Pelodiscus sinensis: one gene and its partners. The protein of the gene in region 2 interacts with the protein of the main gene of each other region in a pairwise test. Links are inferred from orthologs where the notes say so. Each region holds a gene or a part of one and is shown on either strand. Other genes may lie near its edges. The genes, in order: BNIP3, LDLRAD1 and MALL.

Region 1 (3,753 bases), on a different chromosome or scaffold from region 2:
ACTACATGTTCTAACATTGTTCTCTCATGATGCAAGAGATCTGGACCTAATCTGTATGTGCTGTACAGGCAAAACTTTGGATAATGGCCAGTGCTGATAAGTGTTAAAATTATCAAAGTTCCAGCTCTCATCGATTTCCTATTTATACAATTCCACAGCCATTCAAAACTGCTTCACATGTCAACTAAACACAGTCCCTGATTATGACTTTGTATATTGGATCTTTTAGTGATTGGTGTTATAGATAGATTACTGTAAGTGAGCTCTTGCAATAGTGATTAGATACTGAAGGCTGATGTTTAATAAAAAAACAGGAACATAAACAGATATGTAGGTAGGAGAGGTTGAGAGCTGGAAGGCAACCTGAGTGGAATGAGTTATGGGTAGGCACTTGAAGGGAAAAAAAATAAGACTGACTGGTGCACTGGACTAGGCAATATTACACAAAAATAAAGGCTAGCATGAGACAAGCCAAAGATGGAATAATTAGTGGGATATTATTGGATCTGTGAATATCTTTAGTGCAATACTTCCAATGTTAGTCACTGCCACAGAACATTTGCATAAAATTCTGATGTCTGAAATGACAAATTGCTCTGAGAGCAGACAAAATTCAGTGTGCACAGAATGCCAGTCCCTCTCTCTCTCTTATCTCAAATATCAGTGAAGTCCCCATTTAAAACAACTGTCCTTCACATGCTTTGACGGTTGTCTTATTCCTCAGCTCCTCAACAAACTCCTTTGCACTTCCAACATTCCAAATACAAGGAGCATGTGCAATTACACTAGATCACATCTGAATGCATAACCTCTTACCTCTGACTTAGTACTTTTTGTCTCGCAAATAACACATTCTGTTCTTTACGAGAGTGCACGTCTCTTGAAACTCTATCCTAATCTAGCTCTCTCTTGTTGGTGTGCGGCTGTGTGATTTAGATTTCAGTGCTTTTTTAAATGTGTTCCATTCCTATTCAGAATTATGTTCACTTTTTGGTCACCAAGACATTGAGCCAGCCTTGACTTCCCTGATAGAGAAGCAGCTGTCTGTCTCTCTTCATGAGCCTTGAGAATCTCCTACCAGAAATACTATAAAATTAAAATACATAAAATTGAACCTTACTTCCAAAGGAAACTGTATATTTATATCCCAAATGTAATCATGAGCTTATCATGCAAACTTGTCTTAATGTTCCAGTCCAAATGTGGTGCGCACACAAATATTTATGTATAATGTTTACCATTATTACCTTTCCAACCACCAGGTGAGGAAAAGACATATCAGGCTAAGTCCCTTTATGATATGTGTGTCTTATCTGTACATATCAGTGATAGAGAAATAAGACCATCTGAATCTTTTTTTTTTAAATCTTCCAGGGCTGAGAGAGTTATGAAACACCATCTTGTGGTTTTGCTACGTGCAAAACTTCTAACCCTTAAAATGACAAGGTAAAATAACTGGCATTATATATAGTTTAGGCAATTAAATAACCACACCTCTCTGTCTTTCACATTGACACACAGTGAAATCATAGAGAAGATTTGGGAATGTAAGCTAGACTTTTTGATCTTTATTTTCAAATCTGCAAAGTATGCAGGAAATACCTGCATTCCCCAATTTGAGGTGAATAAGGGAGAATTCATAAAATATCTTCTGCAAACTGATTTCAATATTTTTAAGTATGGCAAATATAAGCCCTGATTTCATTTTTTGTCACCCATGGTAAAACACGCTTATTTATTAAAATCCTATCTCTCATTCTTCCATTCCTCTGTTGTGAAAGAAAAATATATTCAGCCAAAGGATTATGGTTTGCTGGGGGGATATGTCAAACTAGAATAGGTAAATCTGAACATAAAAAGATGTTTATTATTTATTTCCAACAACAAAAAATAGGGTGCTTCCAAAACGACCCAAATCCATCACATCTGTCCCATGGAGTTTCAGGTCTAAGGAACATCAATTATATCAGGGAGCTGGCAAGAAGGTGCTTTTCTTTCTTAATCCCACAGCTAGCCATCCATGAAACCGTAAGTGTACCTGCCATGTTTGTGATAACTGGATTGCTGCTAATGGCAACCTCACTGCATGGGGGTGGGGAAAGGCGGCGCGTGTAACGAGATACCTCATTGACTGTGATTTCTAAATTGCTCACATTAACCCTAGCTCCAGACAAGGTACAATAAAGCCCGTACGCAATCCCACACTACTTGGATTCAACGACAGTCCTGGCGCATGAAGGACCGATCACCATCCATTTACCAGCGCTGGCAGGGGCAGTCTACCCCCTGCTTGTCAAGTGTCGTGTTTACTGCAGGGTTATTTATTGCGCCTAACAGCAGATCTTGTCTTGCGAAGGCGTCACGGGCTATCAACAAAGGGAACCGGAGTCCCAAACAGCTCCCATTCCGGACAGCCAGTGGTGAGGTCCCCGCAGGCTGATGGAATGGGGGTGGGGCGCTTCCCTTAGGGGGCCTGCACTAGGGGCCTAACCCTGGCTAGTAAGGGGGGCTCTTACCGTGCAAATTCTCCTCCGGCTGGCTGAGTCCCTCGCCCTGCGACATTGTCTCCGGCTTCTTCGGGGCAGGCGCTGCTATTTTCAGCCTGCGCTTCTCGCGTCCCGACGCGGCTGGCGGGGGCCGCTGCTGCTGCAGCTGCTGACTGCGGCCAAGTACGCAGGGCGGGCGGATCAGTGGCCAGCAGCTGACAGGCTCTGTTATTGTTATTGCTACTGCAGGTTCTGGGGCTTGCTGGGGAGTATGACGTCTCGAGGGAACGGGCCACCCTGATTGGCTGTCATCACATTCCTCCCCTTTTGCTCCTGTAGCGCTTGCGGGTGCACGGGCTGCCCGCGACCTGCTGGGAACAAGCTCAAAGCCTGGATGTCTCCGAGCGGCTACTGCCCTCTGGGGCCTAGTGGCGCCTCTTCTTTCATTGCAACATGGGGCAAGGCTGTTACTAAGCTGTTACGGAGCACCCGGCTTTTGCACATTGGCTTTTAACGCTTCCCCGGCCCCCCACCAGCTGGCCCTGATCAGGAAGCGCCAAAGTCAGAACTCACTCCTGATTGGCTAAAAAGATATCAAGCCATGGCTAGTTTGCATTGGACACTAAGTTGGCCTCATTTCAGATTGGGTGGGAAATGAGGGACAAAATGTTCAGTTCCCACGTTCACTAATGTGCATTGATTTCTACGCCGAGGCTCATGACATCATTTTCCAGCACTGTCAGGATCACGTATTCATTCCTTCACTTGCTGTGCAACTTGTTACTGACCGGTGTGGCTAGAAGTGTTTCCCTACTGTTTACTAATTGTAGTGGCTTTTAGACACCGTCTGTAAGCCTTGTATTACATCCAAAACGTGGATCAGTCTAGCTACCTCGGTTGTGAAAAATATACCAACCTAACCCACGTTTTATACAATGTTAGTCAATAGAAAAATTATTTTGACAGTCCAGCTATTTCCTCTCACGGAGGTTGGTTTACTATAGCAATGGGGGTTGGGGTGGGGAGGGAGGAGGACTCTTGGTTGCTGCAAGAATTATCTTTGCTACAACCAGACATTTCTGACCAGGAGGGCCACAGTCAAATATCAGTTTGTGGTAAATTGCTTTTGAGCCATCTTTGCTAAATACTATTCTACATATAATTTTTAAACTTTCTCTTTCAACATTTTCTTGGTGGTAAAAGGGGTTCGTATAAGTAGATCCAACACTCTGTAAGCACACATTTCAATGTCATAAGAATTTTGCCA
Region 2 (3,753 bases):
TTATTCTAGCTAACCTGTTCAACACAGGTTTGTTCTTTCCTATAGCAGCTATAATCTTGTGCCTGCTAGATATCTTGAAGAAGGCGCTGTGATGGTTTTCCTTAAAACCCCTTTGCAAAAATTTAGAAACTGGCCTAAATATCTTATTTTGGCCAGAGTTATTAGCGCTTTTTTTAAAATGTCTGATTATATCTACATTCAGGTTAGAAGTAAGCAATAGATACTGGTTTTTGCATAGCTTTTTGTACACTAGCAAAAATTGTATTTGAGACGTTCCAGAGTAACTCATTACATAACTTGCTGTTCTGGTTTTAATTAAAGTTTTGGTTGAGTGGGAGGCGAAGATGGTTGCCGAATGGGCAAATTTTGAGGACTATATAGCTTATGCATTATGGGTCCATACTTGAAGTGCGTACCACATACACTGTGGTGCTTGCAATTGTGTGTTAAGCATACACAGAGCTGCTATAAATCTGTTCTTTAAAATCATGTGCACCTTACATTTTTTTGTCATTAAGGTATAAGTTGAGGGGTGTCTACTGTGTTAAAATACAAACATTGAATGTTTGCCCAATTACTATGTAACTTTTGGTTGATGTGGCATTGAAAGAGGATCTGACTTAACTATGAAAGTTGGAGTGCAATGCTCTTCTTAACATCTCTAAATATTTAGGTTTTTGCAAGGATCTCAATGTGAAAGTTGTTTGTGTAGTGCTTTAAAAATTAGCTTTTTTTCTGTATTGTAGTAGCAATTGTCCCAAGACTCATTTCTATGCAGTCATGTACTTAAGTACACAGCCTTGTTAAATGCAGAATGCTGATGTACTAATATTCAATGCACCTTGAGCAATGATAGCTTAAGATGCAAATACAGACTTCATACCAGTGGCCATTGCTGGTATTCTTTGCACTACCTTTGTCTGCAGGACAGTTTCAATAACACTTTAGTTATCCCAAATCTTTATAACCGGCATTGTAAATGTTCTTTGAATCTGTTTTTTCCCCTATGATGTGTAAATGTTTATCGCTTCACTGAAAGTATAATTGTCCAGTTGCCTGTTTCAGTACAATGTATAGCTCTAATTGTCAATGACTTCAATTTTAACTCATGCATGTAAAACTGTTCTTCTCATTTCGTTTTTCTAAAGGTGGCTGTTTTCAAATGTTTAAATTTTTAAATAATTGGGTTAATTAACAGTTTCTAGTTTTTTAATATTGAGCTGTAATATCTACTTAAACTTCTGGAAACCAGAAATGAAAGGAAGGAAAAGAATAAACAAAGGTTCAAATCTTGGGCATTGTTACTTGAAACGTTACTATACTAGGAATAAAGTCTAGGACTCAGTAACTCCTATAAGCAGTATCGGCGGGAGGTGGAGGGGGACCTGCATTCCTGCAATGAGATTCTTGAGGTATTAATTTCTATAAACAAATTTATATAGCTTAAAGGACCTGACTTCTACGCTATTGTACATCTTTTGTATCCAGGTTTTTCCCATTACCACATTTGATTCTGATAATTAGTTGTTACTACAGTAAGAACTGCTGGAATTAGACCGATTCACTCATCTTGGCACTAAGATATTGTTTAACTACTATGGGAGCAAACCTAGATCCTATATGCTAGTTAAGATGGCAAAACAATTTCTATTCAACTTATTTTCAAATACTCAGACTCTTGAAGTACTGTATACAGTAACTGGGTTTTGGGCTCTTCTCAAAGATGGAAAATTAAATTGCCCAAGCAATTGTAGATGAGGGACCAAATACTTCCTCCTCTTCCCCCACCCATATAATTGTGCATCTCTCCTCTTACTTTGAGAACTCGGATTCCTAAGCATAGAAACAAGAACCCTGCTGTATCGGTGGCTAAATCAGCTATACATGATTTCAGTTACAAAAAACTAGTAGTAAAATAACTAAGCTATGGCCACTGCACCATAGATACCTAGGACTCTGGTAATTCCTACTAACTGGCAGTGGTGGAAGTTCACATGCTTGCATCTCCCCTTACAAAGCTCACAAACTTTACTTCACAGATACAGAAACTGAGGGGCAAAGGCAGTTTCTGATTGAGCTGTAGTTGTCTTAACACTTCATCTCTCATCTTGGTTCTTACCTTCTACTCTAGAGCAAAGTGTTTGCTGGTCTCTGATTTCTTAATGATAGACAAAGATGAAATGTCCTGGCTGGTTCTCAGGCTTAGCATCAGAATATGGATTTACAAGGATTAGTTAGCTCTATGTGGCTCCTGAGGGGGATCATGCTGGAGTAAGGATCATTCCAATTATTCAGAATGATCCCTGAAAAAGGATGTTGAATCACTAGCATTCGTGGGTATGTGCTGTGCTGTCACGTGTGATGTAAGAATTTAAGTAAAATCCCATTTTAACTCTTTTTAAAAGAGCCAAGTGGGAGGCACCTATTTGTAGAGGCACATTCTCATGGTCTTACTTTCCTCAATACCAGCTGTAAATACTGCAGATGCAGTGATCAAAGGCAATTATACTCAACATCCCTGTCACCAGAACATCCAATTGAAATTCCTAGGACATCAACTTAACCTGCTATTTTTTGGTCTAAACTTGGAATATTTTAACATCTGCCAAACCAGTTGTAACTTTATATTTTTTTTCAACCCAGTAGTCTTCTTAAACAGCAGCCCTAACAGAGGATATTAGAGTTCCTTAAGCTGCTGGATCTTTTTTTTGTTTTGTTTTGTTTTTTTGGGCCATTTGAACGGAGCATTTTTAACAAACTTCTAGGGCACTGGTATGTTTTGTGTTCAGTGCTTCCCACACCCCCAGAATATGTTGTGCTAGGCAGTCATCTAAACTTGGAATCTTGCAGAGGCAGGAACTAGTCTGTTACACTTGAACAGTATCATGCTATTGAAACGGGAGGAGGGGAATCTTAAACTATTAAAGGATTCAGAGGGGTAGCTGAGTCTGTAACTAAAAAGACTTAAAACAATGAATAGTCTAGTAGCATCTTAAAGACTAACAAAACATGTAGGTGGTATCATGAGCTTTTGTGGGCAAAACTCATACCATCTGCTTATTAGAGGATTGTCAGTCTTAGACAAAGGCTGATTTAAGATGTGTGATGGGCTGAAAATTCCAACTTAACTAAGTCACCTTGGGCTACCCTTTGCCTGTTATGTGGAAACTGATACATGGTAGAATACTAGAGCTGGAAGGGACCTTGAGATATCAAGTCCAGTCCCCTGCCCTAGTTTGAAATGTTTCCTTTTCACTCCTAATCTCTCCAGAAATAGAGGCCCAGCAACTGATTCTGCTTTAGTGTCTGTGAGGATGGTTCCTTTAGTTATTTCACTGTGCTTCAGAAAACCAGCCTATGCCCTGGTTGCTATAACAAATCAACTTCATTTAACTTTCCCATTGAAATAGCTGTGTATATGCCCATCTCTAAATCACAGTTGTAAGGCTAGCTCGCTATCTAGCTGTCTCCTTGTCCTTTCACCTGTCTGATTTCCAGGAAGGTGACTGGCATTGCAGCATGTCTGGAAAGTTAATTCTGCTTCTGCCAGAGGCTGCTGTGCTCAGTAAGCTCTGTTCTGCTCATTTGCTAGTGAAATAGTATATGGGACAGTTGAATTGCAGCAGTGCACTGTGCTGTTCTTAGGTGGTGGTGTATGCTCACTGTTTTACCTAGGATTCACACAATATACCTGCATTGCTAGGAAAAGCTCTGATCTATCCTCTGAGCTGCTGTTATCCCCTCTTATTTACC
Region 3 (3,753 bases), on a different chromosome or scaffold from region 2:
CCGGGCCCAGGCTGTGTGGAGGAGGAGGGTGCTTGTTTGGACCGCCGAGGGGAAAAGAGCCAGTCCTGGGTGGAGCAGAGACTGTGGTGGGGTGGCACCAGGACTGGAGGCTGGCCGGGGAGTGGCAGGACTCAAGGGCTGGGATTTGCGTGGGGGGAGACGGGGACTGAGAAATTGGGGATGGCCTAGGAGCTAGTGGAGAGGAGACTCAGATCAGATCAAGAGCTGGGCAAAGAGCCAGGGACTAGGAACTAACAGGACACAAGTGGGGTAGGCAGCCTTTTCAAAACAAGGTCACCGTGTGTTAATCACCCGGCTACGGAATCTGAAAGTCCTTGGCTTAGCAAAGAGAGGCAGAAATTCTTCCGGAGTCCATGCTGGTCCAGCCAGCGCCGTGAGGAGCCAGCCCTGCGTTGGTCTCCCTCTCCGACTCCTCTTGCCCCTTTTGTCACTCCGGAGTCCCAGCAAAGGGACCCCAGCACCTAACACATTCCCGGTCACTGCTCCAGCTCACTGCACGCGTCCCCTCTGCCCGGGTCTCCTGCCATTCGGTGTAGCGGCGTCAGTCACTGGGATCTCTTCCTGGCTTCTCTGTTGAGCTGGGTTGGGGTCAGCCTGTTCTTTCACGGCCCGGACAGAGAAGGGACCCACGTCCATTCTGGCAACAGCTGCATGAGGCCTCCCAGCCAGGTAGCTGCGCAAAGTGTCATAGGAAACGGAGCCACAAATCAGAGTGATAAAAATCTCACCAGTCATCCGCACGTTGTCATCCACCGGCTTATTCACTGTCCAAGGAATGTGCTTAATTAGCTCGAGCAGCTGAGGATTCTTTTGGCCGCAAGGAGCGGTCTGACCTGCCAGGCTGGAACTGGTTTTACTGATTACCTCCAGGCAGGTGTGTCTCTGGCTAGTACTTTTAAGCTGTGCATTGCACTGATAACCGAGGATAGCGGAGCAGGACTTGGAGCTGAGCAGAGAGGAGATGGCATCAAAAGATCTCCCCGCACCTGTTACCAACATAGAAGCGGACATACCATCTGGACTAAAAGTCCTGAGAACGGTGCCATATGCTTTTATCGTACCAGAGCTAGTAAGTACACGGCATGGTTTGATTTGCTCGCTTGCGATGGCAAAAACTTAACGACTATGTCAACGGCAGGGAGGAGGCGGGAATCCAGAGCCAGCACCGAAAGCAACTGGGGTAAGAAGAAAGCGATATGGGGAAAAGTTTACTTCCGCTGCTACTTATCTTAAAATCGTTAGGTCTGGCATCTTCCTCGGGGCTGGAGTCACCCAAAATAGTGCTTCTCATCCGAGCATGGGGTGGCAGTTTTATGTTTTATTAAGTCAGATCTTGGAAGTTAGAGGCGTGTCTGTCACTTGCTTCTTCAGGGCTGTTTTTTCTCTGCCCTCTTGCAGTTTTCTGGGGGGGGGTCAAAGGTTGTATTATCATATGCCAGCAATGGCAGGTTTTCTTAATGTTCCTTTGTCCAGAGTCCTGGATGTGCGTCGCAGAAGGTCTAATAAGATTATGGCAATCGATGTTGTACTTTGATATACAATACAGCCATCTAGGTCTGTTCGTAATCATTACGTCCATAAAATACGTTGATTGGGTGTATTTGGTAATTGCTGCTGCCTATTCAGACAGCTATAGGAAAAGATAAGCTGACGTTTCCATTAGAAATGTCAGCATTTTAAGACTTTATTGTTGGCTTGATGCTGACAATGAGTGTTTAATTGTGGTGTCATGAACACCACATTGATACAGCATGTGACCAATCAGTGACACACAGATCTCAGTGGTTCAGGAGCCAAATTAGCCATCAGCATTACCCGGAGGAGCCACAGCTGTGTGAATTCATTGTTTCATTTACTATCGTACTATCAGGGCCACCAATGGGGGGACAAAGGGACAGTCGCTTGGGGGCCTGTTGATTTAAAAGGGCCTGGTGTTCTGGGCTGCTGCCACCACAGCTACGGCAGAGGACGGAGACCTGGCCCCTTTAAATTGCCCCCTGAGCTGCATGGTGTGGTCTGAATGGCGTTGTGGGCTGCCCGGAGGAGGTATGACACTGTTTGGGCAGCATTGAGAGCTGGCTGCCTCTAGCCCCGCCCCTTCTGCCTGAGGCCCTGCCCCTTCTGCCTGAGGCCCCGCCCCTTCTAGAGCAGTGGCCCCTCACACACATTGCTCAAGGCCCTGCAAAGTCTGTCACCAGCCCTGAGTCCTATTCTTATTTAAACAGTGTGACGGGGAAATATTGTGTGTGTGTGTGTGTGTGTGTGTGTGTGTATTACTGTTTTATATATTGTGTGTGTGTGTGTGTGTGTGTGTGTGTGTGTGTGTGTGTGTGTGTGTGTGTGTGTATTACTGTTTTATCCACCGCCATTGGTTATGGCCTAGTTAAAGCATCCTGATGGTTTAATGACTTTGTTAATTATTAAATCGAGGTTATAATAACATGCTGCAAAGAGCTGCAGGCGATGCCTAACCCTGCATATCTTTGATGAAAATCATGCAAGGCCTTTCCTTGCAGCAAGCGCTCGCTTTCACGTTAGCTACTTGGCTGCTGCTCAGTCTCAACCCAGGCAGGTTTGTGCATCTTTCATACAAGCTAGAGACTCTGGCCACTTTTATCATTATTGTTATGGACTTGAGTTGCCCAAAAATCTACCAGCACTTGTATACTGGTGGGAGTGGAAGTGACTATCTAAGATTTACCCCTTGATTGGATCCTCTTGCAGAGAGATAAGAAGAAAGTATCTCTAGACAAGACGCAATAGCTGTCATCTGTGTAGTTTTTAAATGTCTCGTGATAGATTTAGGAGGTATTCGCAGGAAGAGAGATGCGAAAGTCCCAACCCATCATACATTCTTACTGCGCATTGGCACAATGTATAAGGCTTGATAGTCCACTCCACTCTCACTGCTAGGGTACATCTAAACTACATGGCTCCGTCAACGGAGCCATGTAGATTTGTTTGTTCGACAAAGGGAAATGAAGCCGCAATTTAAATAATCGCGGCTTCATTTAAATTTAAATGGCTGCCCCGCTCTGCCCATCAGCTGTTTGTCGTCAGATCGGGGCAGTCTGGATGCTCCCCTGTTGACATGAAAGCCCTTTTTCGACCTCCCCGGTAAACCTCATCCTACGAGGCATAACGGGGAGGTCGATAAAGGGCTTTCAGGTCTGCGCGGGAGCGTCCAGACTAGCGCGTTGAGCAGACAAACAACTGATCAGCTGTTTGTCGGCTCAGCGCAGCAGCCATTTAAATTTAAATGAAGCTGTGATTATTTAAATTGCGGCTTCATTTCCCTCTGCTTATCAGCCTAATCTACATGGCTCCGTCGACGGAGCCATGTAGTTTAGACACACCCGTATAGATCAAGTGTCACTTAGGATATGTGTACACTAAGAAACTATTCTGAAATAATTTACATTGATTTAGTAACTCCTGAAATAAGAAAATCAAGCTAGCGTGTCCTCACTACAGGGAACCCTCAAAATGAGACAGAGGCAGAATGTGAATATGGACGGGCTCCCTCGACTTGGAGCCCCTGGAAACGTTGGGGAGTCATTAGTTCGAATGACTCTGGGGAGCCGTTCTTTTGAAATAGCAGCACTGGAGCGTCCACACGATCGCTATTTCGAAATCACTAGTTTGGAATTAGCGTGATTCCCCGAGGAAAGCAGGAGGACAGATTTGGAAATAAGCGACCTGTTATTTCTAAATAACGGGCTTGGTCGTGTG

The links.
Region 1: the proteins of LDLRAD1 (region 2) and BNIP3 interact in binary tests that used the Homo sapiens proteins (3 or more experiments, as listed by UniProt). The two-hybrid records come from large-scale screens. The link is inferred for Pelodiscus sinensis from reciprocal best matches to the Homo sapiens genes LDLRAD1 and BNIP3.
Region 3: the proteins of LDLRAD1 (region 2) and MALL interact in binary tests that used the Homo sapiens proteins (3 or more experiments, as listed by UniProt). The two-hybrid records come from large-scale screens. The link is inferred for Pelodiscus sinensis from reciprocal best matches to the Homo sapiens genes LDLRAD1 and MALL.

What each region holds. Positions count from the first base shown.
Region 1 is NC_134718.1:47,399,359-47,403,111, reverse strand, and holds the start of BNIP3 (BCL2/adenovirus E1B 19 kDa protein-interacting protein 3), read right to left. Parts: upstream 2,880-3,753; 5' UTR 2,563-2,879; coding exon 2,517-2,562; intron 1-2,516. UniProt on the Homo sapiens protein: Apoptosis-inducing protein that can overcome BCL2 suppression. May play a role in repartitioning calcium between the two major intracellular calcium stores in association with BCL2.
Region 2 is NC_134719.1:11,284,444-11,288,196, reverse strand, and holds the start of LDLRAD1 (low-density lipoprotein receptor class A domain-containing protein 1), read left to right. Parts: upstream 1-1,436; 5' UTR 1,437-3,753.
Region 3 is NC_134713.1:196,682,371-196,686,123, reverse strand, and holds the start of MALL (MAL-like protein), read left to right. Parts: upstream 1-916; 5' UTR 917-982; coding exon 983-1,090; intron 1,091-3,753.